Arabidopsis thaliana: one gene and its partners. The protein of the gene in region 1 interacts with the protein of each later gene in a pairwise test. Each region holds a gene or a part of one and is shown on either strand. Other genes may lie near its edges.

Region 1 (11,196 bases):
GGGGTTTAACAAGTCAAACTCAAGAACTAGAATTATAACCGATGTAATCTCTAGTGTCCGAAATGTGTGTGTTAATGTTATATATAAGTATAGACATATTGATGACATTTAAGAAAAGGGTGTTAGGTTACCGGTGGAATCGGTCGTCTTTGCGTTGATTTCATATACTTGTTATATCGTCATATGTGTACAATGAGTTTTTGAATATTGTTAATAAATTTGAAAGTTTCGTTTTCATTAGATTTATGTTGAATATTTGAAACTTCAAAGAGCATGCGTGGGTTATGCTTAAACGATCTTGGCATAAATATTAAAGTATAAATTACAGATCCTTTAAAATCTCATTACAGAAAAAGGGAGTGGGTCTTGATGCTAGGAATTAAAAAAATGATTGGATAAATGGTAAGTTAATTTCTTACCATTTTTCTTTAGATCAGTAGCATATTATATATGTAAATTTGTATGCGTTGAATATCAATGAACAAACTAAGAAATACTAAAAGGTTTTTGGTATTTTGAGCAATTGATCTCTTTGTTTCTTTTGGTGATTGGATTAACGTACATAACCAGACAAAAAGAATCAATGATATACATGCTGATTGGTAAGAGGAACGTAAACGGCACCTGATGGCCATGCATGATTTATATTGACAAAACGATATATAGTTTTCCATTTCTCATCGATCGTGAAACAAATTTCAGATTATTTATCAAGATTTATTGTCTCGTGATTTATATAATAATAGTGTTGAGGTTTCGCTAATTGCTGTTTGAATTCGATGAAAATGTATGTTTTTGGAAAAGAATATACAACGTTTTTCAGAAATTCTTTATTGTAGTTTAATTTTACACACTACTTTTTTATTATGTAATTATTTGGGTCGTCGAGTCGCGTTGATTGGCCTTTTATAGCGACTTGATCTTTGAATACGGCGGTGCTGGAGCTGGTCCCTCGTATGTTGACTTTTGTATTTCATTATTCGAAGAATTGACTCAGTCTTTATCGGTTCGTCATTCTTTTAACATTTTGGTATTTTAATTTTGAACTTGATATTTGCACCCAAAAAAATATATATATATATACTTCAACAACGAGTATGTAAACTTTATCCAATTTTTTTTTTTTTTGTAAACTATATCCATGGATGTACTAACATTTAACATGACAATTCTAATTTTGAGTGTTACGAAGAAAAATAATCATCTTTATAGCTATTTCGCCAATCAAATTATAAATACAAAATTACAAATCAACTGATGTGATTCAGTAGTAATTGTTTTTGGCCGTTGAAGTTAGAAATCAAATTTTACTTGGACGTATTTTTGTTGGAAATTGTAACTTTTATATCATATTTATTCAATCAAGAAAGTATTATATCTTGATATAAACTCTTTTAGCCAAGTATTAGTATTAGAATTTGGAATGTGTAACAGTAATACTTTCTACTAGTGATGACATCGTGTAATTACGCCGATTCAAATTTGATAGTGAGTACGTAACAAATTGTAGATGACAATATTTTTTTCTAATTGATATACGAAAGGCCATTTAGGGGGTTAATTGACTGGTCGTATCGTAGCAAGTCAACTATTTTTTTCTAATAGTTTGTGTGCTCTAAATTGCATTTATTTATATCCCTTAGTAACTTTATGTGATCCCAAAAGGTTCATTATTGTGTGGCAAAACTTGAAGCAACTTGGAACACATCCTTGGACATCTTTCACTCATAACTCTTTTTAGTAAAAGTATGAAGAGCAATTATGGGATACAAAAAAGTATGAACACACAAGATGACTTTTAGATTTTCCTTTATAAATACAAAAACGATACAAGAAACGTGAAATCATGAATTTACAAAGAAGAAAAAGTGGAGATTGTTCACCATGGTTTATCAGGTTGGTCCCATGTTCACGACATATATAAGTAAATATTTTGTTTTATCCATTAATTTGTAACAATTTTTTTTGTTTAAATGATGCTGTGCCGATAATTAACAGAACAACGAAAACATCATATGATATTTTAAATTTAAGATATAATTAAAGAACAATTTAAGCATCATATGATATTTTTAAAAAGTGTGCCAAATTATTTAACCGATAGCAAAAGTTGAACTAGAAGTCCAAGTTCAGCCTCATAAAAAAAAGTTGAACTAGAAGTCCATTGTCCCCAAAAAGTTAAAAAGTTGAACCGATAGCATCAAATAATTTTAAGTTTAAGATGTAGTTAATAATCGTATGCAATGCCATAGAACTCATGATTCATATCTATGGCATTGCATACTTATTTATTTCTATCTCATGTAATTTTACACAACCGTTAATTTATAATCTCTGATTCATTTTGTAAAAAGTATTGATGGTGTGGGCTCTATTTGACCTATATTAAAAAAGGTCATAGAGGGCCAATCATCTTAATCAATTGAGCCCATGTTCCACACATTAAGAAAAGCCTGAAGTGACATGAAAAGAAACGTCAAATGCGTGAATTATACTGTCTTTTCTTGGAACCAAATTTATCCTTTTAATAAAGGAAATACGAATTGAAATTTTGTCTAATTTGGCTTCAATTTTGATTTCAATTTTAGATTTTGTTCTTTGTTATTCAAAATCATTAAGGGTAATTTGGTCTTAACAATCTTCTAAACTTTATATGATCCGATTCAATCTAAACCGTTCAATAAAATTAATTCCCTTCAATCTAAACCGTTTAACAAAAATAAGTAAATAACAACTAAAAAAAATTTAAACACATTCCTCTTATCACTAAATAACAACAAAAAAACTTCCAAATATTATTTAGTTATGTTTGATTAAAAAATTTATATTTATAAACCTATTGCTCGCGGTAAACCGTGGGTGAAATCCTAGTATATAGTTATTACCGATAGCAAATACAGTACTTATCAAAACCAAAAGCTTTTTTTCTTTAGTTTATATATACCCTAATGGTGAATTTTTAGGTCCTTCTAAATGGAGGCTGAACCTGGACTTCTAGTTCAATTTTTCTTTTTTTTTGGGGACAATGTTCTCCAAAAAGATATTTCTTTATTAAGTTCTGTCTTGGTCCACAAAGAGTAGGAACTTCGGCTCTGAACTTCGCAGTAAAAACTAACACTAGATCTGATATAAACAGATATATATGTAAACGAACTTCATATATGATGACGGATTCCATAGATCTCATGTATTCATAATATATATAGTTTAATAAATTGGCTAGTGAACAAACACCATCTCTTTTGTTGACATTTGGAAGTGGGATTAGGTCCATATTTTTTGGGGATAATTGTTTTTGTTGCAGATTAATTGTCAATACCAACTATACGATTTCAGGAAAAAAAAAACCAACTATACGATTTTTGAATCAATTCGATAAAGTGTCTTATTTTCTTCTTCTGTTTGTAATATGCAAGTTAATGTATATATAGACTTTTGTGATTAAGTAAGAACATTGACAAGTAATATCAGAAAAGTAAATTTTCATGGAATAAGCTAATTTTCAATTTCACAATAATATATATATATATATATATTTAAAAATGAGCTTTTATATAGAAAATGTCTTGTGTGTGTGTTTTTTCTTTATTCGAATACGCTAAAGTTAACTAAACATGTGAATCAGGATAGTCCTGTCTGACCCGTAGAACTTCTGAACCTATAGTTTAAAGTCCGGTCCAACTCTAACATGACCACAAGGTTTTCCGAGGTTTTAAGGCTTTTTCGAGAAAAAAACTTATAATTTATAATATCGCTTGAAAAAATAATTTGTATAGAATGAGTCAATCAAAATCTAAATAAATACAAAAGCCAATTGATTTAAACAAAAAATTTCAAATCAAATAAATAATTTAAATAAATTGTTTAAACTCATACCAAATAAAATATAAAAGCAGAAGACTTCAACTTGGGAGTAGAGCCAAGATTTGTTTCTTAGGTTTATAATAAGACACAGTTACATAACTAGATTTAGAGTTTTCAACTCTATTGCAAAAAATAAAAATAAGCAATTCTCTCAATTAAACGAAAATATTAACAAAAAAAATTAAAGGTTATTCGGACCGCTTCGAATCCCGTCAGATTAAGCCCCAAAAATCCTTAAGTCCGAAAGGGATTAGCCTGAAAAACCTGATTTTTTTTGGACTTATATTTTTAAGGTCGAATCCGTTATTTTTTAAGAGTGGACTGGGCCGATATACAAACTTTGGTTCTAATTTACATGCCTACATTTAACCAAACAGATTAATTCAAAATAACCAATTAGCGCCACGTACCTTATCTTATTAACATGAACAATGTACTTTTTCTCAACATAAGAGAAAAATAATTTATGTTCAGTAAACATCATAACAAGTACTGTATAGGATAATGGAGAGATCTATATCTATAAATATATACAAAATTCGGAGCTATTAATAGATATTAATGAACCCTTCAAATCAAGAAACCATCAACAATATGATGGTAACGTCAATTTAATACACTTACACAATATTTAATCATGATATATCCATGCTCATGTATGTTGTCGTAACAAAAATATTAATCCAAAAACGCAACAAAAATCTATTGAAACAAGTCAAAAACCTTTTAGCTAGTGATGCAAAGGGTTTGGACCGCTAGGTACCACCCGTTCCTCATCATTGTACCAGAAACCGTTTTCTTTTACAGTCAGGCTTGGACTTTGACGTTGCCGTTGAGTGCGATCTTTATTCTTGAGAAACGGAGTAAAATCAAAATTACTTGCTAGAATTCTCTTATGGCCTAAACTATTAATGCCGGATTTAAGCTTGTAAGAAGTCGTAAAAGCAAAAGAAATGAGAAGGAAAACAAACAACGCAGAGAGTAGAGAGATGTGGAAGAGGAAACTACACGGCTTAGGTTGTTTCGTCATGGCCTTGTAGCTAGAGAAGAGTTTGATGAAGGTGAAGAAGCAAGAGAGGTCATGGAGCCAGAGAGAGAGAGAGAGAGAGAGAGCAAGAAAGAGATAAAGAGAAATGATTAGAGAAAAAAGGTTTGAGATTTTATGATTAAAAAGGTGTTTCTTTTTTGTTAATCTCGAAGAAATTACAGCTTGAGCGGAGTTTTATATAAGTGGGAATAATTAATAAAGTACATAGTAGTTTAATGAAAATTTCAAATTATGATATAGAGTAATACGTACTAATTTCATATTTGGCACATATGTATGGGGTTTGAGTATTGGATTTGTGAAAAAGGTATGAAAATGAGGGAAAGAAGAGAGTAAAAAAGGTTACTTTACGTTCAAGGAAGAATGGAGGTGGAGTGGTACCATTTTTAAAAAAAAAAGCCAAATAGTCAAAGTTTTGAATGTATTTGGTATGACCTACTGTTATTGGAGGTTGGGCACATTTTTTAACCTTACATCTTCAATTTATACTATACTTATTTGTTACATAAAATAAAGATTGTTTCGATATACGGGTTCGAAATAAGCCGAGAAATGCTCAAAATTAGTTTTTGTGCTACTTAGTAAATAGGACAAATTAGATTCGAATTAACTGAGCTGTCTAAATAAAGTTTGAGTAGTCCGACGTTTTGATATCGTCGCCATAATGCACGGTGGTAGTTGACTTGATGATGACTCTGATATTCCTTCTTTTTTTCCTTTCTTTTTGTTAGTTAATGACTTTGATATTCGGTTTATATTATTTAAGATTTCATTTCATCAAATATTAATTGAATGATGTTTAAGAAATTAGAGAGTTAAATATCTATTGCATATATGTCAGTAGAATACTACTTGTTTTATTTTCTTTGTCCTTTTTTGGTTGTTGGCAAAAATGGTTTTTCTTTGTTCGTTTGTAATAATCTCAATAGTAACAATATATATACTAGTAATTATCAAATCCATATAGTGATATACGCGAAGCAAATGAATCAGCGGTAGATGAAATCTCTCGTTTGAATATTTGATATTTGACTAAGATTGCGGGGATACATATAGTACGCATGCATGGATGTGAAAAACACGCAAATGTCGCGTTGCACCGGACATTTTCTTAAATTGCACTCTAACATTCTCATATCCTAAACTTTAGGCCTTATTTTCTTATTAGAGTATGTATTTACAATATTTACTTGATTATTCTCATAATTGACATATTGAAATTTGAAGCCCACAAAAAACAAAGCTTCTATAGTTCTTCTTCCGTACATTACGTTAATTTGATTCATTCCCAGCTGTAACACAATGATATATATTCGGAACTATATAGTATAATCATCCGTACAATATTGGATTATAATTTAACACATACTGTCTATGGGCCTATAAAGGCGGATAGGCCTGGACACGAAGCAAATATCCGGAAAAATTGTGATATTTGTTATTTGATTCGTTTTAATCGAATACTTGATTTTATGATTTGCTTTGATTCGAAACTTTCCGGATATCCGGAATTTTGAATATCCGAATTTTTTTGTGATATTTGCGGATATCTACTTTGATACGTATAAATATTAAAAAAATATGTAAACTATATAAGCATATCAGATATTCAAAATTTTTATTTAACATACTTTCAAAATAAGTTATAAATACCAAATATAACCTTTGTTGTTATTACCGGTCAACAAAAATGTTATCAAACTAATTCCAAAAACTAAAATCCGATAGTTTAATTTTGATGTCATTGATCAAAACACAACATAAAAAAAATGATAAAACAAACATCTTAACATAAAAACATAAGGTAGCAACAATACACAAACTATTTATGATATCTACATATAGATATAACTATATATTCTAATATATATCAAAAGATACGGATCAAAGCGGATATTCGATTTTAAAAAAGACAATATTTGCTATTTGATTCGGTTTTTACGAATACTACATTTTCATATTTGCTTTGGTCCAAAATCTTACGGATATTCGGATTTTTTGAATCAAATCAAATCGAATACCGAATCGAAGCGGATCGAACGAATATTTTACCCAGCCCCAATAAAGGCTATAACACACCTTGAGAAAGTTCAAATTCCTCAAGACATAGAAAGTAGCTAAAATATTCAAGAAACGTCTCCAACAAAAGCCCAAATATTAACAACTGGAAATATAAAAGGTTGTCTACAAAAAGCTAGCCAGCAATTTTTCAATGAATTAAGTACCCGTTAAGTTGATTTTTTCACATATTTTGATTCATTTACACTTTTTTGTTGTTGTCTTATAGAAAGTAAAGTATCCGATTCATTTAGACTTTTAAGTGTCCATATATATATGGTGTGAGATCTCACAATTCAAAAAAAACTTATTATTGAAGTGAAAGATGGTAAGAACTTTAACAAAAAAAAAAAGAAAAAAAAAAAAAGATCGTACCTTAGTGACTTGGGTGGGGTGACATACGCAGGGAAGCCTAACAGTCAAGCTCCTTATCGCGAAAGGCCCATTACCTTCCAAAGACAAATTCTGGATCAGATGACCATTATATATACGAGCTTATTTGGAAGAAAATCTTCATTCAACAACCCATCTATTAATTTCCACCTATTATTTAAAAGAGAGATGAGAAATGACGTAAAAAAAAAAAAAAAAACGTTTTTCTAGCTCTAGAAATTTATAGATGGGTTGTTGAATGAAGATTTATCATTTTATGTATTCGATACTATGTTAAATAAATTTCTTTAATCGAGTTTGTTTTCATGCATGTTCTATTAACAAGTATGTAGATCTTGGAAAAAGAAAATATTTTGATCTTGATAAAATTCTTTTTCAAATCTCGATTAGTTTATTGTTTTTCCGAATTTTGCATTTATACTATTTATGTGATGTTCGTTTGTTAGTCGTTGGCGACCGCGACCAAATGTTGTTCGTATGGAAGTCGCTGGATATAGCGACCTGCGATTATAATTTTTGGTCGCTATTTATCTTTACGACTGATTATAAAACGCGATGTCTGAATTCAGTAAACTCGGCGACGGTATTGTTTTACATTCTTTTACATTTTAAAACTCTATTATTTACATTCTCTATTAATTATAATGATGCTCACTAATATAAAGTTTTAAAATGTGATCAATTGTTTCAAACTGCATTTGTCTTAACAAAATTCAAAAAAAAAATATAAATTTTTTGAAATAAATGTTTTATAAATATCAAAAGGTAAAGCTACACTAATCTTTTGCATTGTATTCGAGTAATATAAATCGAAATGACCAAAGTCTCTAAAGAATGAATAAGGATCAAATTTCAAAGAAAAGTGAAGAGTAATCGTCAACTACAAGAATCTTATCCTATGCGTACTCTTTCCTTATGAGTGACACAATAGAAAACAAACCCAACTGATTGATCCTTGTGAATAAGATAAAGTCCCAATCAACCTCTTACTTATCCTGCGCATATGCACTGTCCTCTATACTATCATGCGCATATACAAATGTCCATTCTTATCATGCGCATATACAAATGTCCATTCTTATCATGCGCACCTCAACTTAATACCAAACAAAAAAAAAAGTTTCACAAAACTCCAAAAGGTAAAGAATCTGACCCATTCACATATGCGTTTCAAAAACACTATCATGTCCACCACACGATTAAACCAAAGAGAAGAGAGAGAGAGAGAGAAACAGAGAAGAAAAGATTGAAGCAATCGAATGGAGAGTGTGGTGGCAACATGGAGCAGAGAAGAAGAGAAAGCATTCGAGAACGCAATTGCGTTGCATTGTGTAGAGGAAGAGATAACAGAGGATCAATGGAACAAAATGTCGTCAATGGTACCAAGCAAAGCCTTAGAAGAAGTAAAGAAACATTACCAAATCCTTTTAGAAGATGTCAAAGCAATCGAGAATGGTCAAGTTCCTTTACCTCGTTATCATCACCGCAAAGGTCTCATCGTAGATGAAGCAGCAGCAGCAGCTACTTCTCCTGCCAACAGAGACTCTCATTCCTCTGGATCATCTGAGAAGAAACCAAATCCTGGCACCTCCGGGATAAGTAGCTCCAATGGAGGAAGAAGTGGTGGCTCGAGAGCTGAGCAAGAGAGAAGAAAAGGGATTCCATGGACTGAAGAAGAGCATCGGTTTCTTCTTCTTCTCCTTCATCTCCATCATCTATCCATTGATATTATTTAGACTTAAAAGAGTGAAAAAAGATTTGGAAGATTCTTTACCTTTATTGAATACTCTGTTTTGTTTGGAAGGTTGTTTCTTTTGGGTTTGGACAAGTTTGGGAAAGGAGATTGGAGAAGCATTTCAAGGAACTTTGTGATCTCAAGAACTCCAACACAAGTTGCAAGTCATGCTCAAAAATACTTCATCAGGCTTAACTCGATGAACCGAGATAGAAGGCGGTCTAGCATTCACGACATCACCACTGTGAACAATCAAGCTCCTGCGGTTACAGGAGGAGGACAACAACCGCAAGTGGTTAAACATAGACCAGCTCAGCCACAACCACAGCCACAACCGCAACCACAACAACATCATCCCCCAACAATGGCTGGATTAGGGATGTATGGTGGTGCGCCAGTGGGACAACCGATCATCGCACCACCTGATCATATGGGTTCAGCTGTTGGAACACCTGTGATGCTTCCACCTCCAATGGGAACTCATCATCATCACCATCACCATCATCTTGGAGTTGCTCCTTATGCTGTACCGGCTTATCCGGTACCGCCATTACCGCAGCAACATCCAGCTCCGTCGACAATGCACTGACTGAAAACAATACAGTTGGTATTAAAACTGACATATATTGTACTGAAAACTTGTGTACATTCTCAAATCGAATAGCGAAACTGCGGCAAATAATAATGTACAGCAGAGGAATCTGTTTTTCCATTTCAAATCTATGATTTTCTTCTCAATATATTTCTTGAAACAAAGGCCTATAGGAGGATTTCATATTCAGACAGTAGAGAGAAAGTTGAATAGAAGTATACATAGATACAACAAACAAAACATATTAAAGAGTCATAGACCAAGTGTTGACTAGAAAATTTCACCAAAAAATACTAAAAGTAGCGTAGCATGTTACTATGTAGCTGCCAAAATTGAAGTTTTATAATCTAAGAGGTGAGATAATGGGGTCTCAAGTTTATACTTATCAGAGAAGATCTCTTGTAACTGAAAATAGGCATGATGAAACCAATTGAGCAATTTGTTTGCAAAATACATAACAAAAACGTAGAAGCACAGGCCAACCTGATCTCTTATTCCAGGGAAAAAAAGTAACCAAGTCCAAAAATATGATAAGAAGAGAAGTAAAGATTCAATAATGTAAAATTCTTACAAGAGGTTAAGAATGGTAAAAACTTTTCAAGTGCCAAACTGGTGACAGACGAGAGATTCCATAGATCATCGTTGCTTCTCTACTTCCAATCTCATTTTGATGCAAAGTATTCTTATTTGCATCCAAATTGCAGGAACCCTGGTTAAGAATCTTTGATGTGAGAACTGGGAGAATAATGGCTGGAGTAGATGGTCATGTTGTTGACAACTCATGGCCTATAATTAGGTACTTTCTTGAATTTCCTTTGAATAGAATTCTTAATACATTCATTGACATAACCTCTCTTTTTTTCCTTAGATGGGCTGGGGGAAAAGATGATAAATACTTTGCCACACTTATCAAAAACACTGTATCTGTTTATGAGACTAAGACTTTCAGACTGCTACGCAAGAAGGCGCGGCTGTGAATTTTGATGATGTTGTGGGCATGTCTTGGTCTCCTACTGAACCAATCCTTTCACTGTTGAAAGGGGATGTCAAGAACCAGCCTAAAAAGGTTGTTTTTCTGCAAATACCGGGCTATGTGGAGCTGATGCACAAGGATATTCTCAGCGTTAGCGACTGTAAGATGTACTGGCAGAGCAAAGGAAAGTATCTTGCTGTCCAAGTTACTCGACATACGTGCTCTCTGTTTGAGCTTTTCCGCTTCAATAAGGTACAAGGCATTACCACCGAGGCTCTTGAAGTGGATGAGAAAATCCTTGCTTTCGCGTGGGAGCCGAGCGGTCACAGGTTTGCCGTGATTCACGGAGATCAATCAAAGCCAAATGTCAGTTTCTATTCTATGGAGACACCCCAAAACCCTGGAAAAGTTTCAAAGCTAGCTACCTTTGACGACAAGGAAGCTGATGCTCTCTTCTGGTCGCCAAGAGGCAAGCACATCGTTCTCGCTGGTTTGAAAGCTGCTTCAATGGCCATCTCGAGTTTTTCGACGTG
Region 2 (11,126 bases), 1.2 Mb from region 1:
ATTATATATCATTGAATGATAGATAGGTCAGAGCAAAATTTGTGACTAGTTAGCAACACAATGACTACAAATCTATTTGTGGTTAGTTAGCTACCGACTGACTACAAATTTACTTTGGATGTGTTTTACTTTCATTCGTGGACATGCAACTTTTTCCGCCGGCCACGAAAATTTATGGAATCACTCGTGGTTAAAATGAAAAGAAAATGACCTAATTGGAAAAGAAAACAAGAAAGTATTTCGTATTCGTATTATCGTATACGTATTTTTTTCAGGTTTATAGACATGACATTAACATTACGTATAAACACACACAAAAGTATGATGCCTAAGTCAGGTGCCAAGAAATTAGAAGTTTGCTAGGTACTAGTATTAATTTTCCTAATCCTAACGGTCTCGTATATTTCCTTTCAAGTTAATAAATAGGTACAACAATCATAAATATCTCTACACAAAGGTAAGCCGCGTAAGTCAAACCCTAAAGCAATTAGGATTTTGATATGTGTACTATAATTAGTTGTCTTAATCCGACTAGATTAAATATCACATCTTTAGACGCAAAATGCGTATTAATGCATGTCCAATTCGTAACGTTCAATAGTTTTTTTAGAATAAAATAGATAAAAGGAGATTCCCCTATTCATTGAAGACAAAATTATACCAACCCTTTATAATCTTATACTATTATGATTTGTTTGTTAAATACAAGTACACGACCATACATCTACCTCGTGTGAATTAGAATCCCTAATGTTTTGCTAGAACTAAATGATATAGATGAATAATGTTGCCTACATACAAAAAAAGAGGTTTAGACGTTAAAGTAGTTAATCATTGATTAATGTGTCTCCAATTCAACTTAGATTTATCATATGTATAGTCATGCATGTTTAAGAATTAGATAGACTCTTCTTCTATAAATGAATGGTTACGAAATAGAATAAAAATTTAAATTAAAGAGGGAGAAGAAAGAGAGAGAGGGGAAGTGTTTAACTCAAGTGGATCTCTTGCTAAACAATAATACAATGCCATTTAATTTTCAATTTTAAATTTGTTTTCCAAATTTTATTTGAATTTATGGAAATGTGTTTTGTTGTTATTTTGCCCTTTTAAATATGTTTAATATTGAAGTGGGGTTTTGACACATTGACCACCAAATGCTTTATAGTCTTAGTGCTTCTCCGTGACGCAATTAATTTCCTTTTCATTCTCACATTCACTTTGGTTTGTTATTCCAACTTTTATTTTCCTAAAATCTCTTTTTAACCATTTAAAGAAAGTATTTGAATTGACATAAATAACCAATAATCAAAAATTATCCTTTTATATTCGGGAGAAAACGTGTATATGTGATCCAAAATGTCTTTAGAAGGCTAGCTAACTGCAAAAAAAAAGAAATTAATTTTGTTAGATATATTCATAGTTAGATATTATTGATTTGGCAACTATAATTTTTTTTCTTTTAGGTTAAGCAAAAGACAAAATGGAAGAGTTCGTTCGGTGGTGGTGCGAGGAGTGGATTCCATACTGTCTAAATGATAAAGGGGTTTAATCATTGTTCCCTTGGATGATTTTTTAATTTATTTCTTTGAGTCACTTTGATCTTTTGGGTTTAGTTTTAGTCACTTAAATTATTCATAAGATATTAGATACGAATACGACGACAAAAATTCATTAGATTTGCATATATGCTCCCTTATAATTTCATAATTTGTGTAAATAATTCAGTAAAACATTTGTGTTTCATTTATTTATTTTAGTCACTTTGATCTTTTGGTTTTAGTTTTAGTCACATAATCAACTATTCATAGATGTATTACTTTTTTGCTTACTAGATATGATTCGGACGAACAACATTTGTTAGATTTTCAGATATGCTCCCTTCTAATTTCATAATTTATTTAAACAATTTGGTAGAAACATTTGTGTTACTACCGTTGCTGCAATATCATCAAATTTTAAATCTGAATAAAATTGTTGTTGAAATTTTTTTATAGAGAAAATTCTTTAATAAATTTAGAGATTTGATATTATAATCAATTCTACAAGAAAAATGCTGATACAATTATATATATATATATATATATATATATATATAGAAATATTAAAAAAATCACTAAGTAACATTATACGTGATGCACATTATATGGGCTTGAATTCGTAGTGATATATACGACGATTCTGCTAACTACATGTACGATCATATAAGAAACTGTTGAACGTTTATGTAATCAGGTTTGTATATATCAATGTTGATTATTGAGGAAAAAAAAAGAAGAACCAAGATTGATAAGAAAGTTATGTTAACTCTATGTCGGCACCAGAGGCTTCTCTTGGGGACTTTGGGTGATATGTGATTCTCTGAGAGAGGAAAAGACAACGCGACTCCTACGTTGTCGTTTAAAAGATTCAGTGGAGTTATCGTCACTACGAACTATATCGGTCGTTCAAGGCTTATTTTCAAAAGAACATTTTAGTCTTTTGCATAATTTACGGTTTTATTTTGGTTAAGTAAAAAACCAATGAAAGTCGATAGAAAGTTTCTTTGAAAAATGTAATTTTAACCGAAAATACTGGTTAAATATAGAATTCAGTGTTTGTGTGTGTATTCGCAAGTGACTAAAAAGATTGAAGTAAAATAAACAGGATCTATATCAAGCAAAAATTCAACAATAAAAAAAGGATATTGCATGTGAACAAAAAACGAAAAGAAAAGATTATGGATAATTAAAAGGGTTATTTATAAACGTAAAACCTTTTTTCTTTTATAAATGTGGCATATATATACACTGAGGGAACATGATCTGGTGATAAAGATATTCAGCTTCGATATGTCTAGTTTTAGATACATGTGACCTAAGGATACGATACGATGGTTGCTATATGTAAGATGTGATATTTCACAAATTTTTTGTCAGCAATTATTCTTATTCATATTCTTATAGAAGATTTGATTGTTTTTTTTTTTCTGTTTTGTTCCCTCAATGTCAACTAAAATTCTTTCTGAATAAAGAAACAAATATACGGATTAACAAAATGCGATTAGAGTGGAAGTTTTGTTGTTCGTTCCTTAATTCCACACTATACATTTGCTTTTTAAGGAGTGAATGGGGTTAGACAACGTACGAATACATATAATATAGAATGACATGTATAACATCATATTTGACACACGTAGATAGTTCATATAGCTACTGAACTAACATGGTCTATTATAGGTAAAATGAGTAAAGACATTATCAATTTTACGTTTGTAATTTTAATTAAAGATTCATAATCATTTCATATCTTGATATGTAGGAGTGTGGGACTCTTAAGTCTTAACTTCATCAAATCCTAACAATACCAATACTGAATTTTATAGTTATATAGTATCTAACACACTCTTGTATTTGCTCAAAGAATGTTCCAACTATTTAGATAAATTGAAAACAAAATATTTAGCTTTATTCCCTTAGAAAGTTTTTAGTAGAAGGAAACGTAAAATTTTTAAAAAGAGGGGCAATGGAGAATTATGTAGAAGGAGAAGCTGAGTGGGGGAAATAAGAGAAGTTAGAGAAGGTGGTGCTCTCGAATTAGGATTCCAACAGAGGTAAGTGGGATGCCCAAATTTGGGAACCATCTTGTTTCTTACTTTCTTTGTCTACTTTTCATAAAAATTATTATTCTCGGTTTATCTTGTTTTAATTACGTCAGTGAAACTTTATTGTTTCTCTTAGTTGATTTCTATTAGTCTTTATTCACATGATGTTTGGCTTATCAATATACGCGTGTGAAGAATGAGGAAATTTTCGTTTTCGTCAAGAATTGGTATCCATTTCTAATGACCTTTAGCTTGGACATATTAATGTGATCAAATCTTTGTTACTACTAATTTAATGGATAAAAATGTATGGATTCAAGATTTGTTTTGATGATTGCTTAACGCTAATAACAAAATCGAGGTCAAAATCATCGTAAAAATAGAACGAATTTAAATTAGAGAAAGATTTTTTTTTTTTTTGCGAACCAAACTTTAGTTTTACATGAAAATGTTCAACTAAAAATTTTAAATTATAAATGATGTGTTCTTAAATATTGTAGCTAAGAGTATTTACTTAAATAAGATATATTAAAACGTAAAACAGAGAATAAAAAATTATATAATATTTGGCCCTCGTTTTTTTTTAACCACACCCATCTTCGAATTAGAGATACAACATACGCCTCAATTGTTTCATGATTTTTTTTTTTTGTTTTTTTGCACCATTTACATGTGAATGCTTTGTTTGACATAGAAACTATTTTTAACCTTTCCAAAAATATATTAAAGTGCAAACGCACACACACCAAAAGCAAACATTTACGTTTAGCATTTACATTTTTGATAAGCAAAATAATCTTGGTTAAGATGTTAAGAGTTGTATATGTTCATTTAAGATAGAAATATGTACTAGATCTAAGTGAAAACGAAAGTGCAAAAACTAAAAACCGAGGTTAATAACTCATGTTTTTTTTTTGTCTAAGAAAATGAACAATTTAGCTAGTAAAGTAAGATACTTGTTTAGTATCATTTGTTTGGTGTTGTGAATATGAACAAGAAAATGAACAATTTAGCTAGTAAAGTAAGATAATTATAGATCTTAAGTTGAATAAACAATTGTGAGACAAGGATATGATTTGGTCAAAATAAATATACAAAATGAGAAAGTGAATGGTGACGCAAGTTTCAATTATGGGAGAGAGTGGATAGATGCCTACTTGCATGAGTGTAATCTTTCAGGGCTCAACACAAATATTTGAAAGTGAGAGTGGAGTTCCATGTGTTTGTTCCCATCTTCTTCTCTTTCTTTGTTACTCTTGAGGCTTCATCATACTCACCAACATTAGCCAAACATCTTCACTTTTCTTTCTTCATTTCTTTAAATATGGGGTCCGAGGAAAAAAAAGATTTCTTGAATTGTTATCATGTATCTTGAAAAATCATGACATTATCTTCACTAAGTTAGTAATTCATTTACATAAATTATTGAATGTGAAAAACTTTTATATCGTTTTTGATATATACTCCCTTCAGTTTTCTTTTATTTTCTAGGAAAATTTGTTTCAAAAGGTTGATTTTTAGATTTTCAATGCAATATTTATTAGTTATTATTGATGAATTATAAACTTTAATAAAAATAATTGAAAATCATTAGTTTAAAGTTATAAGAAATTATAAAATACAAAAAATAAAACATTTAAAATCAACTTTAATATGATTACCTTAATATATGTGTTTTTCCTAAACAATCGAACAAAAATGAACAGAGGGAGTATATATATATACACATAACACATGCAATAATAATTTTTTCTTCTTCCTGTTTTCTTACACATGTTTTTAGTTTGTTATTTTATTAAATTAACTGAACCATAAGAAGACAATTTCAAGACAAAATTAAAGAAGAAGAAGTTATAGATAGCAATTTTACCCAAAAAAAAAAAAAAAAGAGTTATAGATTAGCAAACAAAATTTGGTTGGGCCTGACTTTAATACACAAAAGCCCAAACTCTTAAACCCAACTGTTGTTCTGTTCTTCACCTTCTTCCCATCTAGGGTTATTACGTAACTTCTCTGTTCTCTCTCACTCTCTCTGTTCTTCATCACACCGAGAATTCGAAAATTCCGATGAACAAGAAACTTCTCAACCCTCTTGAAGATCCACCAACCGCTTCTTCAAGCGAAGACGTCGACGAAGAGATTTCATCAGGAGAAGATGAAAAAGAACATATCTCCAATTCTTCTTCTTCTGAAGAAGAAAACGAACTCAAAGATCTCTCCACTCAAACCCTAAATTCTCCTTCCACCGAGGCTCCAACTCTCGATTCTGGATCTGAGACAAATTCCGACTCAGATAAGCCAATCGTCTTAACCAGTCAGAAGAAGAAAGAAGGTACTGATTCATCAGGGACGAAGCGAGCTAGTGAAGGAACTAGCTCAAAGGACATCAAAAGAGCTAAGAAAGTTTCAGGAGATGACGATAACAAAAAATTTCAGAGTTTATGGACTAAAGAAGATGAGATCTCTCTGTTACAAGGTATGATTGATTTCAAAGCTGAGACAGGTACAAGTGCTCATGATGATATGAATGGGTTTTTTGATATTGCTAAGAGATACATAAGCTTTGATGTTAGTAAGATCCAATTCGGTGACAAGATTAGAGGTTTAAAGAAGAAGTATTTTGGTGTAAGGAAGAAGAAAGGTTTAGACTTGGATCATGATAAGAAATGTTTGGGATTGGCTAAGTCTATTTGGGGACTTGATGGTAAGGAAGTGGTGGTTCTTGGAGGAGATTCGGAGACGTCGAATTGGTTTGAGAAGTCGTTTTTGGTTCGGGTTGTTGCGAGGCTTGGTGTGGATGAGTGTATTGTGAAGTGGAAATGGAGTAAGGTGTCTAAGGAGACTAAGAAGAGGATTGAAGAGAAGATGAAGATGGTGGAGGCTAAGGAACTTGAGTTGTTGTCGCAGAAGATAGATGTTTTGAAGGAGGTGGCTTCTGTGATTGCTGAAACTATCTAAGAAGAAGGACTTGGATTGTTTAGGTTTAATGGAGATGTAATGCCTCTTTTGTTATTTATCGTAGGATATATGTTTCTCATCTATGTTTCTGGTTCTTATTAGTCTTCTTTTTTTGTTTCTTGTGTGAGAATTAGCTAAGGAACTTAAGAACTTTGGACTTTGTAAGCCTTTTGGTCGATGGTTGTAATGAACTTAAGACTTTGTAAGCTATGGCTCCGACTGGTAAAAGGTGTTTTCAAGGTTGAATTGCAGTCGAAGTTATAATTTGATGTAAATATTATGTGGTATAAACTGCAGTTTGATATTGCCCTATTCTTTTCGTTATCGTTGCGTCAGCGGTCCGCGGCCGAAAATTATAACTTATTTGCATGTAATGTATATGGAAACTAACATAATCGTTCTTGTGAAAAGAGCCGCAACGTCTATAATGTATATGTTAGACTTTTGTCCGGTGACATTTTATCTTTTTGACAACGTAAGACTGGCCCTCGTTCTGACACTGCCCATTTCTCTTTACGGTGGTGGTCGGCTTGCGTCTAGATTTCGGTGGCTTCTATAGCAATGGTGGGCTAGCTAAGATCTAGAGTTTCACCGCTTATCTTCGGTGTCTCTTTTATTTTTGGCCGGATTGTTTTTCGGTTTAGATTTATGCTTTTTCCCTCGATTTCTTTATATTCGATGTGATTGGACTCTTTTGCGTTTCAATTTTTACATTTAGAATTGTAATTCCTTAACCCTCTTTTGTTTAAAAGCTCTAGCGGTTTCCGGTAGTTTTGAAGGTTCCTTAGGTCGCTTTCTACATCGACGATGACCGGCGTCGACATTTGATTCATCTACCCACGTGTCTCAACATTGGTTAATAGCCTCACACGTGTCTCTTAGTCTCTGCATTGGATTTTTTCAGCTTATTTCCTCAAAGAGTAATAGTTTTCTGGATTGGGATTTCTTTACTTTGGGCCTAAGTTTATCAGATGGACTTGATGGTATCTTTTAGGCAATATTGGATGATTATATTGTTTAGAAATAGTTCAATATTGTGAAGTTAATGTGTCAAGCCCTGTTGGACCTCCTAGCGCAAGATATGAGGTGAGCCATTCATCCCTTATAACACTTCAGGCAATCTACCTAGCTAAAAAATTGGCTTTTGGTGAAGAGAGGTTGAAAATTACTTCCGCCAATTTTTTTTTTCCGGCCAAATAAATTCCCGCCAAAACTTGTATTTAAAATTTTTTGTAATTTTTGAAAAAACTCTTAAAAGTCCTTGTATAGTTTTTTCAAAGCATTTTAAAAGCTTTGTAAAGTTGTTAAAAACACTTGTAAATCATTTTAAAATCTATTAAAATCATTATAAAGTCTTTCAATACACATGTAAATACTTTCAAACCCCTTTTAAATCTTTCAAAAAATCCTTGTAAATATTTTTTAAAAGGGAAAAAACCTAAAAAAAACTCAACTAATTTTTATTTGAATATTTAATATCTAATTATTTTTGATTAAAAAAATACACGAAATAATAAAACTGTGCAATTTAATACCCAAATAATTAAATGCTTTTTTTTTGTTTTTTAATTAAAAATAACAATATTTAATTTTTTAAATTTTAAATTACATAATTTTATTATTTCGTGTATTTTTCTTTTAACCAAAATAATTGGATATTAAAAATTCAAATAAAAATTAGTTTTTTCCGTTAGACTGTAATTAAAAAAATATTCATTCCTCAAACATGTTACTTCATGTTTTAATTCATTTTAAATACATTTATATTACAAATTAAAACTTTCAGAAAAAAATTTGAACTTTGGTGTCACAGAAAAAAAAACCTTTCAACTTCCTTCCATGGCGATATCTCCTCTTCTCTGGACTCTTATCATCTTCTCCATAATCTTCTCACTCCAATCCTCCTCCTCCGAAGAAGACACACCAATCACACGATTCCAACAATACTTAAGATTCAACACAGCTCATCCAAACCCTAACTACACCGCACCAATCTCCTTCCTCATTAACCAAGCTCAATCAATCGGTCTCACTACCAAAACAATCGAATTCATCTCTGGCAAACCAATTCTTCTCATCACATGGCTAGGCTCAAACCCTAACCTCCCATCAATTCTCTTCAACTCTCATCTCGATTCAGTCCCCGCCGAATCAGAGAAATGGACATATCCACCGTTCTCAGCTCACAAAACCATCGACGGCCACATCTACGCTCGAGGAGCGCAAGACGACAAGTGTATCGGAGTTCAATATCTAGAATCAATCAGAAACTTGAAATCGAGAGGCTTCTCACCTCTCCGTACGATTCATATCTCTTACGTTCCTGAAGAAGAGATCGGTGGATTCGACGGGATGATGAAATTCGCGGCGTCATCGGAGTTTAAGGATTTGAATTTGGGATTTGCTATGGATGAAGGACAAGCTAATCCTGGCGATGAATTTAGGGTTTTTTACGCTGATCGAGTTCCATGGCATTTTGTTATTAAAGCTGAGGGGATTCCAGGTCATGGCGCTAAGCTTTATGATAATTCAGCTATGGAGAATTTGATGAAGAGTGTTGAGTTGATTTCTAGGTTTAGAGAGTCACAGTTTGATTTTGTTAAAGCTGGTAAAGCTGCGTATTCGGAGGTTATCTCTGTGAATCCAGTTTATCTTAAAGCTGGAACTCCTACTACTACTGTGAGTTTGATGAGTTTTTGTTTTGGTGTGGAGTTGTTGTTCAAGAGAATAAGAGTGTTTGTTTTTTCTTTTGCAGGGGTTTGTGATGAATATGCAGCCTTCAGAAGCAGAAGCTGGGTATGATTTAAGGTTGCCTCCAATGGCAGATCCTGATGTTATGAAGAAAAGAATTGCTGAAGAATGGGCTCCTTCTATTAGGAACATGACCTACTCGGTAAGTAGATGTCGTTGTTTCTGTGTGTATTGCTATCTGAAATGTTAATATCAGCTAAAGTCCATACTCTATAGTCTATAGCGTTATACAGAACTGTTTTTGTAGTTTTGTTTTGTGAAGAAGCATGGCTAAATAGAGTGAAAGAGCGCATTGACCATATACTTAGATCAGAGATCGTATCAAAGTTCTTAACTTTTGCTTTCGTCATTAGTAAAATGTATGTTTGAGATTCCTTTCAGCTACTTTTATTAAGTCTCAATAGTTCCACATTAGATTCCGTTTCTGTTTTGATTATAATGTTCATTATAGTTCTTGTTATTCTACTGCCATTAATCTGTCTATTAGGGTTATAGAGAAGCTGTTCGAGCCTGGTTTTGTGAAATATGACCTTAGATAGTTGGATGAATGAAGAAGCATGGTTTGATAGACTGAAAATCCCTTGATATAACACCATTGCTAGTGATCACCTGTTGCAAGAGTTTTCGTTTTAGTCACATCCAGATGTTTTTTTTTCTTGCAACAGATACAAGAGAAAGGAAAGTTAAGAGATCATTTAGGGCGACCTATAATGACTCCAGTAAATGATTCTAATCCTTGGTGGTCTATCTTCAAGCAAGCTGTTGAAGCAATGGGAGGAAAACTCGCAAAGCCTGAAATTTTGGCTTCAACTACAGATTCACGCTTTATTCGCACTTTGGGAATTCCAACTTTTGGGTTCTCTCCAATGACCAATACGCCTATTTTATTGCATGACCATAACGAGGTATTCACATGATGATATTATCTATTGCCATCTTTGAGTCTATATATTTAATCACAGTACTGATATAAACACTTAATTGTGGCCTCAGTTCCTAAAGGATACTGTATTCATGAAAGGAATAGAAGTATATGAATCGGTTATCAGCGCTCTAAGTTCCTTTGAGGGAGAATCTGCTCAAGTGATTTGAAGCATGTATATATGCAAACAATTGTGACACACTGCTTATGGTCAAGGCTCACATTGCTATGACCAAGAAAAGTAGTAGCTGTTTCATCTGTAAGTTATTTTTATCAACACTTACTCTTGCTTTAACACCCTTAAGTGGTTGGTAATAATCCTTTGTATATATATCAGACATTTGATTTGCCTGCATAATTCTCTAACTCTGAAGAGAAAATGTCATTGGTGCTTGGAGCATGATTTCACAAAGTGTTGATCTTTTTAGCTCTCAATGTTCTAATTTTCAGGAGTTGTTGTAACATATCACTTGCATAGCATCAGAGATTATTTCATATCACTTGATTTAGTTATTGACTTTACGGCTCTGAAAATAAACAAACCATTCGTGTGGGTCTTCTCTCCCCGAGTCTCGACCCTTCCGGTCTTTGTTTTCGCAGTTGTGCAACTTATGGTTCCGGTTTAGTTTCAACTTTCTTTCAGCTATTTTGCTTTGAAGATGGTTTTAAGACAACTTGAGCTTCATTTTTCCTGGCATGCGTTGTGGTTTATTCAGATCTACTTCATCTTCTATTTACTTGTGTTGGACTAAAAATTATTGGTGATTCTGTTCATGATGGTATCTTGAGCTGGAGATAAATTCTTCCTTTGGCGGCAATTTTGTTGTGGACCTTTCTCTCGTCGTGGACTTTAGTTTCTTCTTGTAAGCCCAAATGTTAGAAGAGTTTGTGCTGTTTTTCTCGGGAAAACGG
Region 3 (11,196 bases), on another chromosome or scaffold:
TTTTTTATGTATTGATGTGACAATCAGAGAGAGTTGACCAACTTTCATATATATGATTTTCTGAAGTAATGTTTTAATTATACGACGTATTAGTGCCGACAGTGTAACCTTTCGGTTTGAAACACTCATAATGCATGTTTTTAACAAGAACGAAAACTAATAAATGGGAAAATCCTAAAAGGAAGATAATAATTTATTTGATGTGTTATATGGGCACATTGTACTAGGCCTAATTCTATAGTAATCGGTCCAAGAAAGAAAATGAACAATTACATATTTTCGTTCCTTTTTTTTTTTTGGGAACACAGACTTCAAAATAAAAAACTTTTGATCACACGTGTGGTGATTTTTGCACATGCAGGGACACAAGCTAGTGGTGGTCGAAGCCGACGGCAACTACATAACGCCGTTCACGACCGACGATATCGACATATACTCCGGCGAAAGCTACTCCGTCCTTCTCACCACCGATCAAGACCCTTCACAAAACTATTACATCTCCGTCGGCGTCCGTGGCCGGAAACCAAACACAACTCAGGCACTCACTATATTAAATTACGTAACTGCCCCTGCTTCAAAACTCCCTTCTTCTCCTCCACCGGTGACTCCACGGTGGGACGATTTCGAACGAAGCAAAAATTTCTCTAAGAAGATCTTCTCAGCGATGGGATCACCATCGCCGCCGAAGAAATACAGAAAACGGTTGATTCTTCTCAACACACAGAATCTAATCGACGGATACACGAAATGGGCGATCAACAACGTCTCTCTAGTGACTCCGGCAACGCCGTATCTCGGTTCGGTTAAATACAACTTGAAACTCGGATTTAACCGGAAATCGCCGCCGAGGAGTTACCGTATGGATTACGATATTATGAATCCACCGCCGTTTCCTAACACCACTACAGGAAACGGAATATACGTTTTCCCGTTTAATGTAACGGTCGACGTGATTATCCAAAACGCTAACGTTTTAAAAGGTATTGTTAGTGAGATTCATCCATGGCATCTTCACGGTCACGATTTCTGGGTTTTGGGTTACGGTGACGGGAAATTTAAACCGGGAATTGATGAGAAGACGTATAATTTGAAGAATCCGCCGTTACGGAATACGGCGATTTTGTATCCGTATGGATGGACGGCGATAAGGTTTGTGACGGATAATCCAGGGGTTTGGTTTTTTCATTGTCACATTGAACCGCATTTGCATATGGGAATGGGTGTGGTTTTCGCGGAGGGATTAAACCGTATTGGTAAGGTACCTGATGAGGCGTTGGGTTGTGGTTTAACCAAGCAATTTCTCATGAACCGGAACCGCAATTGATTTAGTAAGGTATGACGGCATTTGAGTGTGCTTTTTTGTTTTGTGGTTGTGTTCGGTATGTTGTCAACCGAAGATTGGTTCATGTTATTGGTATAGTTGGTTAGTTGGTTAGTTGGTTATATCGGTTATTTTGATCGGGATTAGTTCAGCGAGTTCTTTCCAGCCGAATTGACTTGGTGGATAGAGCTTCATCGTGATTTATTTTATCAGTGGAATCGGACAAATCGAAGAAAAAATATCAAATTTAGTTAAACTACACCGGCAAACTTTTGCTTCACTTAAGATAATTTTTATCTGTAGTTGTGAGAATATTTGGGTTTGCTATTTTTCGTTTTGTGAAAATATACAAAGTGATGTTGTATAATAATTGTTATTTGGAAAGGTATTGTTCAAATACAAGTTTGTATAAGTACATTTGAGTTTTAGATTTAACAAAAGAAAAAAATAGAGATACAGAAGTATAAAATAGTCCTAAATATACCAAGTCATATAAGAAAGTTGGAGTTGACGAGATAGTGGCAGGACAACTCGTCTTTGTTGACAACAAATTGAAAATTTTAATTTGAGTTAAATGAGCATTTTGGAAACTTGATGCTTGAATTTGTGCTTTGTACTAATAGATTGTTGAAAAGTTGCTTCAATTTCGCTATGATGATATTTATTTTAAATTTAAGTTTTTTTATTAATAAATATGTTATGGTACATTTCATATCAATCGAAACTTAAGACTTCTCCATTGTAATTGAATTTAAACTTAGATTCATTGGGCCTAGCAACATTATTGAGTTTGGTTAGCTATTTGCTACTCATCTCACTTGTCTTAACTTTTTATTGTTTGCATCCTTGCATATAAAATGATAGAACACGAATATCCATTGCGCCCTCTCGGACTGCTTTAGAAGACTATAACCCAATTCCCACTACTGTAATCAGGGCACCGTGATGACACAATTACATAATCTCAAAATCCTCACCCGCATTCGTTTGGAGCTGTGTACACCTGACAGACATTCACACTCTATCTCCTAAAGAAGTTAAGAAATAGGTTGTCCTTGAATAGGTAGAAACTGAAGACAATGTAGTGAGATTCAAACTAACCAAATGATCCCAATATCTACAATGCAAAGAAACTGCTAGTATCATGAGCTCAATGGAAGCAAAAACACTACCCATGGCTACAACCTCAAACTTTCGACATTGGGAATATGGATGCAAATGAAAGATCAAGATCATGGACCTTCATAGGACAGCCACGTGTTGCTACTTCCGTTGACATGTGCATAGGACTTAGGTTGAACTAATTAATGTCTAGGCCTGCTTCTTCATCGTTTTGCATTTGATTCTCTAGGCTTAGTTCGGCCACAATATGTTTTACATATCTTCATGACTTTACATTTTTATGCCTTGCTAATGTGTTTTTGTCACTTAGTTTTAAACGCTACATACCTTATATGCTGCATAAATCCTTTATGGTATCTTTCGAGGAAGGAGGCTGGGGATCAATCTTTGTGGGAATACCCTTCTATTGTTGATGGTGTCAAGATAACTCCGTTTGTTCTCATCCGTATCATTTACCTTGAAGCAGGTATAAATTCATCGGAATTTACTTTTAGAGGATTCATGATTGTAATAGTTGCTAGTTACATCTCAAGCCCTACTAGCACGCAAAACTCTTGAAACTGTGCATAGTCTAGTAGTATATTGAGATATAATTAATGGTTATGGACATTTTACGGTTTGAATAATAAGTGACAATCTATGTCAAATGTGTTTTAAGTGTACTTATAAGAAGATAATAAAAGCCTCTATGACTATGAGTTGACGAATTTTCAACACGATTTGAGTTTGAATAATTTTGGCGACCGACCATTCGAGAGACATGGGCACTATAAGGCATATAGGCCAAAGCAAGGACGTTAAAAACAGTTTACGAGTGGTCGTTAATTGGTTAATGTGTACGATAGATAGTTGCATATTTTCACATACTATATTAATAAAACATTACTTATAGGAAAACGACGAGAGTTCCAATAATTGTGGAGTAGCCGACAAAAAAATCCCGGGAGACACGTTTCAGACATTTTAAAGAATCATTGCTGGCGACGAAACGTGCCTTCGTGGCACTTGTTTACTTTCCTATTGGCTATTTGGTTATATTCATTGCACCTCTTCTACATTTTCTCTAAGAAAACATTATATTATCATATTAAGAAATAAATACTAAAAACATCATGCTGGTATTGTTTTTCTTTGATTTGAAATAGGTTTTATACCCTATAATATATAGTTGTACTATATACCGTATCTCATTTGAACTTAAAATCAAATATGATATTTAGATAACTAGTTGACATTTCTAAAGGATAACCAAAATAAAATAAAACGAAAGTATTACCTGTTTCATTACCCACACGTTGACCGTTATACAAACAGTTATAGATAATATATCATCATAATTAAAGGTCAACATTTCATGATTTATTAAGTAGTTTATATAACATTTTGCAATGAGAAACCCGACAATTTATAGTATGGCGCCAAGATTACGAAATCTCAAATACCTATCTTTTAATGGGAGAGTTTTAAAATCGAAAAACGAATATTTGATGAGAGTTTTATTTTATTTTTTGAGTCGTGCATTACAAATATCACTGTGAAAAATGTTGATCGATTTACATAAGAATCATAATCGTCCATTGGATATATAGACAATGTGATTTAGAAGGTTATATATTTGTTTGTCTAAAGAAAAAATAATATCTTCAATTATATGACACAGTTTACAATTCAGCATAGAAAACAATACAATAAGCTACAAAGGATTGTTTTAAATAGATTTTAAAACACCATATTATCATCTTTAAATTTTGGCTTCTTGAGATGGTCTGGATAAATAGAAAATTATTAAAATAAAAAACATTGTTAACTACTAATTTTATATTAAAAATACATTTATGGAATGCTTAAAGGAAAATGGGGAAATATATATAGACAGTAATACTAGAAACCAATCTGTTGGTCAAATATTTAGAGCCAGTATCCAAAGGGATTGAATGTATATTAGTATATATAAGATATCATAAATTCATAGAGAATACAAAATTCACAATTCTTAATACAAAATACTTACCTATATGAAACTTTTCAATTTTAATGCTATGAGCTTGTGCAATTTAAAAGGCTCTTATATCTAGCATATACTAATATAATGCAAAAACAAAAATGGTAAACTAAGTATTTTTATTCTATTCTAAAGAATGTCAAATTGTATGCTTTTAAATGTTTAAACAAAAATCATGGAAATTTGGTATTTTGTAAGAAATTGAAAGCGCCACAATTCTGAGCTATTTTAAGGAATTCTTCAATAATTTTGTTTTTTTAGCATTATCATATATGTATCAGAATTAATTAGTGAGTACTGGCAACATTTTTTCCCTTTTCTTTCATACTCTGCCAGCTTTTGTATTTAAAACTATGATATTTTTTTCTATATCATATTATGTGATTTGTTTACATTTTCAAAGCAAAATGTAATAATTTCTATATATTTTATGACAATGTGCATTTTTTACTTTATTTTTATTGGTTGGACTGTGATTAGATAAATCATAAAATATCTTTTGATTTAGTAAAATAAAGAAAATCATTAATTTCTTAATATGGAAAAATTTAAACGTTTTTATTTTGATACAAAGAGAGTAATTATTTTGTAAGTCTTTGGGCATGATAAGTTTTTAGTATTCAGGACTTGGTAGAACTACAAGAATCTCATTTAAATTCCATTGTAAAAACTAATTGATAAAACTAATACAAGTAAATTAGTATAAATAGGTTGTATTTTGTTTTTTTTAAAGTATAAATAGATCGTACGGAACTACTTACTGTTTTACTATTTGTTTATCTAGACCGATATATTTAGATACAGCTCCCCATGAAATTAAATGCATTAACAAATTTTAAAATTCAAACATACGCACCAATTAATTTAAAGCTATTATTTAAATATTTTATAAAAAAAAAATTACATGCTACGATTTTATACCATTAAAATAGTAAATTTACGTGCCTTAGAAAATGTCTATATTTGGTACTTGATTCCTATTTGTTTTCAAAAATACTCGCTTTATGTTTAGGGGTTATATTTTTCCCGCTTAAGCATACATCTACATTTGATATTTTTCTTATAGTAGACATGATTATATTTTTTATATTGATATTAATAATTTTAGGCTATCAAACAAAAAATAATTTAGGCAGAAATAACCATTTTATGGGCATGTTAATTTTTCTTTTTTTTAAAAGAAGTGACTATATATTTAAATAAAGAATCTGAACTAGAAATGGAATGAAACTCAAAGGAGATAAATAAGAAATTTTTACCATATCCTTACACAAAGAAATGTGTCGTTTAGCATGGTTTTTACAGGCCTATTATCACCACCCTTTCGCAGTCTCTTCTTATTTAATGCTCATAATATATATAGATACACAAACATACATACATACATGTCTCTATCTCTTCTCTCTCTCTGAAGGTCCCAATAGCTTCTTTGGTTTGAATTTGGTGGCCGAAGCAACACAAAGGTCTCAAGAGTTTTCTGGGTATATTCTCTTCTTCCTTCGATTTCTCTTTATTTTTGTTTTTGTTTTGTTTTGCTTTTACGTATATTGTCTGCTTGCAAATATTGTTTTTTGACTTGTTGGGTTTGGTCTATCTGATATTTTGTCCGATGGGTTCCATTTTCACTTTTGCAAGATCAAGTATTTCAGTAGTAATACGGACTGGATTGTTTTGTCGTTATATGCTTTGATAAGAATCAAAAGAAAGAAAAAGATCGATGCTTTTACTGTATAATCATTTGATGATAAACCATTAATCTTGTTTGTGATTTTCTTTTACCTTCTCTAAATATTTCTCCTATATTATGTACTTAATCTCTTTGGTAGTAGTTTTCCTATAGTATTTATTCAATCCCTTGGGAGTAATAACTAATGGAATTTGGATCTCTAAATCTTTGTGTTATTCATATGATGAATCTTATTTCACAAGTTAGATCTCTCGATCTTTCACTAAAAGTCTCTGTTTTTTTCTTTTGTGTTATGTTATTGCTAGAGAGTTTTAATTTAGATTTTGATAAATACGGCATTACTAAATGACGATGATTATGCAATTTTATTCTTAAAGTGAATCATAGTTGATGACATTATTTGCAGATTCTATGGATATGTATAACAACAATATAGGGATGTTCCGGAGTTTAGTTTGTAGCTCGGCGCCTCCATTTACAGAGGGACATATGTGTTCTGATTCGCATACGGCTTTGTGCGATGATCTGAGTAGTGATGAGGAAATGGAAATAGAGGAGCTTGAGAAGAAGATCTGGAGAGACAAGCAGCGTTTAAAGCGGCTCAAGGAAATGGCGAAGAACGGTCTAGGAACAAGATTGTTGTTGAAGCAGCAACATGATGATTTTCCAGAGCACTCTAGTAAGAGAACCATGTACAAGGCACAAGATGGGATCTTGAAGTACATGTCGAAGACAATGGAGCGATATAAAGCTCAAGGTTTTGTTTATGGGATTGTGTTAGAGAATGGGAAAACGGTAGCGGGATCTTCTGATAATCTCCGTGAATGGTGGAAAGACAAAGTGAGGTTTGATAGGAACGGCCCAGCTGCTATAATCAAGCACCAAAGGGATATCAATCTTTCTGATGGAAGTGATTCAGGGTCTGAGGTTGGGGATTCTACCGCACAGAAGTTGCTTGAGCTTCAAGATACTACTCTTGGAGCTCTGTTATCGGCTCTGTTTCCTCACTGCAACCCTCCTCAGAGGCGGTTTCCGTTGGAGAAAGGCGTGACACCGCCATGGTGGCCAACGGGGAAAGAAGATTGGTGGGATCAACTGTCTTTACCCGTTGATTTTCGAGGTGTTCCGCCACCTTACAAGAAGCCTCATGATCTCAAGAAGCTGTGGAAAATTGGTGTTTTGATTGGTGTAATCAGACATATGGCTTCTGACATTAGCAACATACCCAATCTCGTGAGACGGTCTAGAAGTTTGCAGGAGAAAATGACGTCAAGAGAAGGCGCTTTATGGCTCGCTGCTCTTTACCGAGAAAAGGCTATTGTTGATCAAATAGCCATGTCTAGAGAAAACAACAACACTTCTAACTTTCTTGTTCCTGCAACCGGTGGAGACCCAGATGTTTTGTTTCCTGAATCTACAGACTATGATGTTGAACTGATTGGTGGCACTCATCGGACCAATCAGCAGTATCCTGAATTTGAAAACAACTACAACTGTGTTTACAAGAGAAAGTTTGAAGAAGATTTTGGGATGCCAATGCATCCAACACTCCTAACATGTGAGAACAGTCTCTGTCCTTATAGCCAACCACATATGGGATTTCTTGACAGGAACTTAAGAGAGAATCACCAAATGACTTGTCCTTATAAAGTCACTTCCTTCTACCAACCAACTAAACCCTATGGTATGACGGGTTTAATGGTTCCTTGTCCGGATTATAACGGGATGCAGCAGCAGGTTCAGAGCTTTCAAGACCAGTTTAATCATCCCAACGATCTCTACAGACCAAAAGCTCCACAAAGAGGCAACGATGACTTGGTTGAGGATTTGAATCCTTCTCCTTCGACGCTGAATCAGAATCTTGGTTTAGTCTTACCTACTGACTTCAATGGAGGTGAGGAAACAGTAGGAACAGAGAACAATCTGCATAATCAAGGGCAAGAGTTGCCCACATCTTGGATTCAGTAAAGAAAGCTTCAGAGTTTTCTTTTTATGTTTTCTAGTCTTTATAGCTTTGTCTCTTGCTTATTCTCTCATTAAACACAGTTTTTGATCTCTCCATTTCATAGCCCATGTAGCAATGGAGAAGATTAGGTTTCATAATAAGTTAATAACCAAATTCAAAGTAATTCATTATGTGATTTGAAGAGCCTCTCTTTTTGACAAAAGAACAGTAGAAAATGCTTTATTTGTTTAGACTTTAGAGGTGTGTATTTGTGTTCGCCTTGGGCTTCAAGGAAGAAGGCGTTTGTAGACATTTTTAATATTAAATAATTTAAACTTTGTTGGTATGATAATATTTTTATTTATGTCTTTTTATTATGTCTTTTTATAGGGAATTGTTTTCTATAAATAACAGATTTTTTATGTGTTAAATTAATTTTGTGCCTTTAAAAGAGATTAATGGTTAAAAGATGTATTTCTATATAAATCTCAAATTGAAAAATCAAATAAACTAAGTTTGACGATATGCTATTTTAAAGTTAATATGAATAATTTCAGAAATATTTAAATGATATTTCGCATATTAAATTCATAAAATAAAACTATGTGAAGACCTTACTATATAAAACTATACCTTTTTCGGCAAATCAAATACTTATATTATAAAGAGTTTACAAGAAATATAAATATTTCCAATACAACCGTTGATACAAATAAAGAAAATCGAAACAATTGATTATAAAAGAAAAAAATTCAATGTATTGCTATAATTCACTATAATGATCATATTTACTTTTTTGAATCTAATGTTAAATTATATTCAAAAAAAAAATGTTCGTTGTACAATTTAGTGGTTCGTGAGTTTGAAAATAAATTTTAAAAAGATCTAAAAGAGTAAAAAAAAAAACGCTTGTAAAAGAGCAGCTTGGTTTGGTGACCTCAGGAGCTTAAACTCTAGCAAGGATCCATGCTTGATACGCTTTGTCGTACCGTCTATCTCCTCTTGTTCGAATGGTGGAAATATGAATACAAATTTGTTTATAAATCCATTTTGTGATAAGAGCCCCCGGATGTGGTTCCTTTTTGTGCCTTCTTCCATTCCTCTCCTTTCAAATTGTATAGACAGTGGTTTGTAGAGCATAGCGAGACAGATAGCTCTCCGCTCTACTTTGCTTTGGTTCGATACATAATCCAAGACTTGAGCCCAGTCGGTTCTGTACTGATTTTGAAGATGCCCTTTGTTATTGCCTCCCATATCGTCTCCCATATAATGATCACATCACTCATCTACAAATTTGTATTTATTCAAATGATCAAATCCTTACCGGTTTTTTCTTACCACTATTCCATTCCATGCTAGGATTGGCTGCATCCTCTCATTTCAGTCAAGTTAAGCTCTTTTGTCTATTACTTTATTTCATTCATTTTCTTCTTCAATATTTTTTTTTTTTTTTTTTTTTTTCTTCTTCAATTTTTTTTCTTGGCAAAAATGTTTTACATTGACCAATTTTTACATTCCGTATATTCTATTAAAACTTTCCATTCAAGGTTCCTCCAATTTCTTTCTCCATCTGTACTAATGGAAAATTTAATAGATAATCAACAAAATAATATATACTCATTAAATAATTGTTATTAAAAGAATCTCCAAAATGATATTTGGACGATATTCATGCAATCACGTCCTAATCTCCAAATATGCACTTTCTTTATCTTATAATAAAATGATTTACTCCAAATCCTTACTGTCACCAAATCAAAACCTTCATTTCATCTGCTTCGCATTATTTCTCTGATTCAAGAAAAATGACGGTCGAGAAACCACAAGAAATGACCGGCGATACAAACTCCGACGGATTCCTAACTAACAAAGACGTTCACAGAATAAAGCATCCATCGCTAGATACCAACGATAGTTCCTCCAGCCGATACTCCGTCGATTCTCAGAAATCAAGAATAGGACCACCGCCTGGGACTTACGTCATCAAACTCCCTAAGGATCAGATCTACCGTGTTCCTCCACCGGAAAATGCTCACCGTTACGAGTATCTCTCTCGCCGGAAAACAAACAAATCGTGTTGCCGGCGATGTTTATGCTATTCCCTCTCTGCTTTACTCATCATTATCGTCCTCGCAGCGATTGCCTTCGGATTCTTCTACCTCGTTTACCAGCCGCATAAGCCACAGTTCTCCGTGAGTGGAGTCTCCGTCACCGGAATCAACCTGACGTCATCTTCTCCGTTTTCTCCGGTGATCAGAATCAAGTTGCGATCTCAGAACGTTAAAGGTAAACTCGGTTTGATATACGAGAAAGGAAATGAGGCTGACGTGTTTTTTAACGGAACCAAACTTGGGAACGGCGAGTTCACGGCGTTTAAGCAGCCGGCGGGTAATGTAACGGTGATCGTGACGGTGTTAAAGGGATCGAGTGTTAAGTTAAAGAGCTCGTCGCGTAAAGAGTTAACGGAATCGCAGAAGAAAGGAAAAGTGCCGTTTGGTCTCAGAATTAAAGCGCCGGTTAAGTTTAAGGTTGGCTCCGTTACAACGTGGACGATGACCATTACGGTGGATTGCAAAATAACAGTGGATAAGTTAACGGCGTCAGCAACTGTGAAGACGGAAAATTGCGAAACGGGCTTGAGCCTGTTGTAAAATTTGAGCTAGTTTTGTTTATGCCTTGATGGGCTTTGTTCGAATTATGTTATTTTTAGTTTGTTTGATTCAATATATATTTTTGAATTAAAATTGAAATTTGCTCTGTTCAAATTGGAAGTTTGAATTTTAGTTTTACATTTGGAAAAGAGAAACATATTGACTGAAATATTTTGAAATGACTAAAATTAGTAGAAAATCTAGGTGAAATTAGATTCTTAATAAGAAAAAAATCATAAAACTCGGCATTAATGCATTTCAAGTCAATTGGATATCTTAACATTTGTTGAAATATTTTAAGATATCCTACCATTCTTAAATAAAAAATTTTAAATTAAAATTTTACATTTATAAGTTCATTTGAATTTTAGTTAAATGCACAAAGGACAAAATCACATTTTAGTATAAATTCTCGGAATTAAAATTTAAATATATTGTAGACTTTAACCGAGGAGTTTAAATATATTT

Evidence for each region.
Region 2: the proteins of AT1G49010 (region 1) and AT1G44810 interact in a two-hybrid assay, tested with the Arabidopsis thaliana proteins (one large-scale study listed by BioGRID).
Region 3: the proteins of AT1G49010 (region 1) and EIL2 interact in a two-hybrid assay, tested with the Arabidopsis thaliana proteins (one large-scale study listed by BioGRID).

What each region holds. Positions count from the first base shown.
Region 1 is NC_003070.9:18,124,092-18,135,287, forward strand, and holds AT1G49010 (Duplicated homeodomain-like superfamily protein), read left to right. Parts: upstream 1-8,453; 5' UTR 8,454-8,622; coding exon 8,623-9,047; intron 9,048-9,167; coding exon 9,168-9,687; 3' UTR 9,688-9,926; downstream 9,927-11,196. Other genes in the region: CLE11 (CLAVATA3/ESR-RELATED 11), read right to left, coding at 4,595-4,894; AT1G49015 (DPP6 N-terminal domain-like protein), read left to right, coding at 10,437-10,486, 10,559-10,610, 10,640-11,196.
Region 2 is NC_003070.9:16,917,971-16,929,096, forward strand, and holds AT1G44810 (DNA-binding storekeeper protein-related transcriptional regulator), read left to right. Parts: upstream 1-5,469; 5' UTR 5,470-5,650; coding exon 5,651-6,541; 3' UTR 6,542-6,851; downstream 6,852-11,126. Other genes in the region: AT1G44820 (Peptidase M20/M25/M40 family protein), read left to right, coding at 8,381-9,220, 9,297-9,434, 9,958-10,197, 10,286-10,384.
Region 3 is NC_003076.8:7,176,086-7,187,281, forward strand, and holds EIL2 (ETHYLENE-INSENSITIVE3-like 2), read left to right. Parts: upstream 1-6,503; 5' UTR 6,504-6,522; coding exon 6,523-8,100; 3' UTR 8,101-8,257; downstream 8,258-11,196. Other genes in the region: AT5G21105 (Plant L-ascorbate oxidase), read left to right, coding at 362-1,324; AT5G21125 (uncharacterized protein), read right to left, coding at 8,963-9,343; AT5G21130 (Late embryogenesis abundant (LEA) hydroxyproline-rich glycoprotein family), read left to right, coding at 9,883-10,728. UniProt on the Arabidopsis thaliana protein: Probable transcription factor acting as a positive regulator in the ethylene response pathway. Could bind the primary ethylene response element present in the ETHYLENE-RESPONSE-FACTOR1 promoter.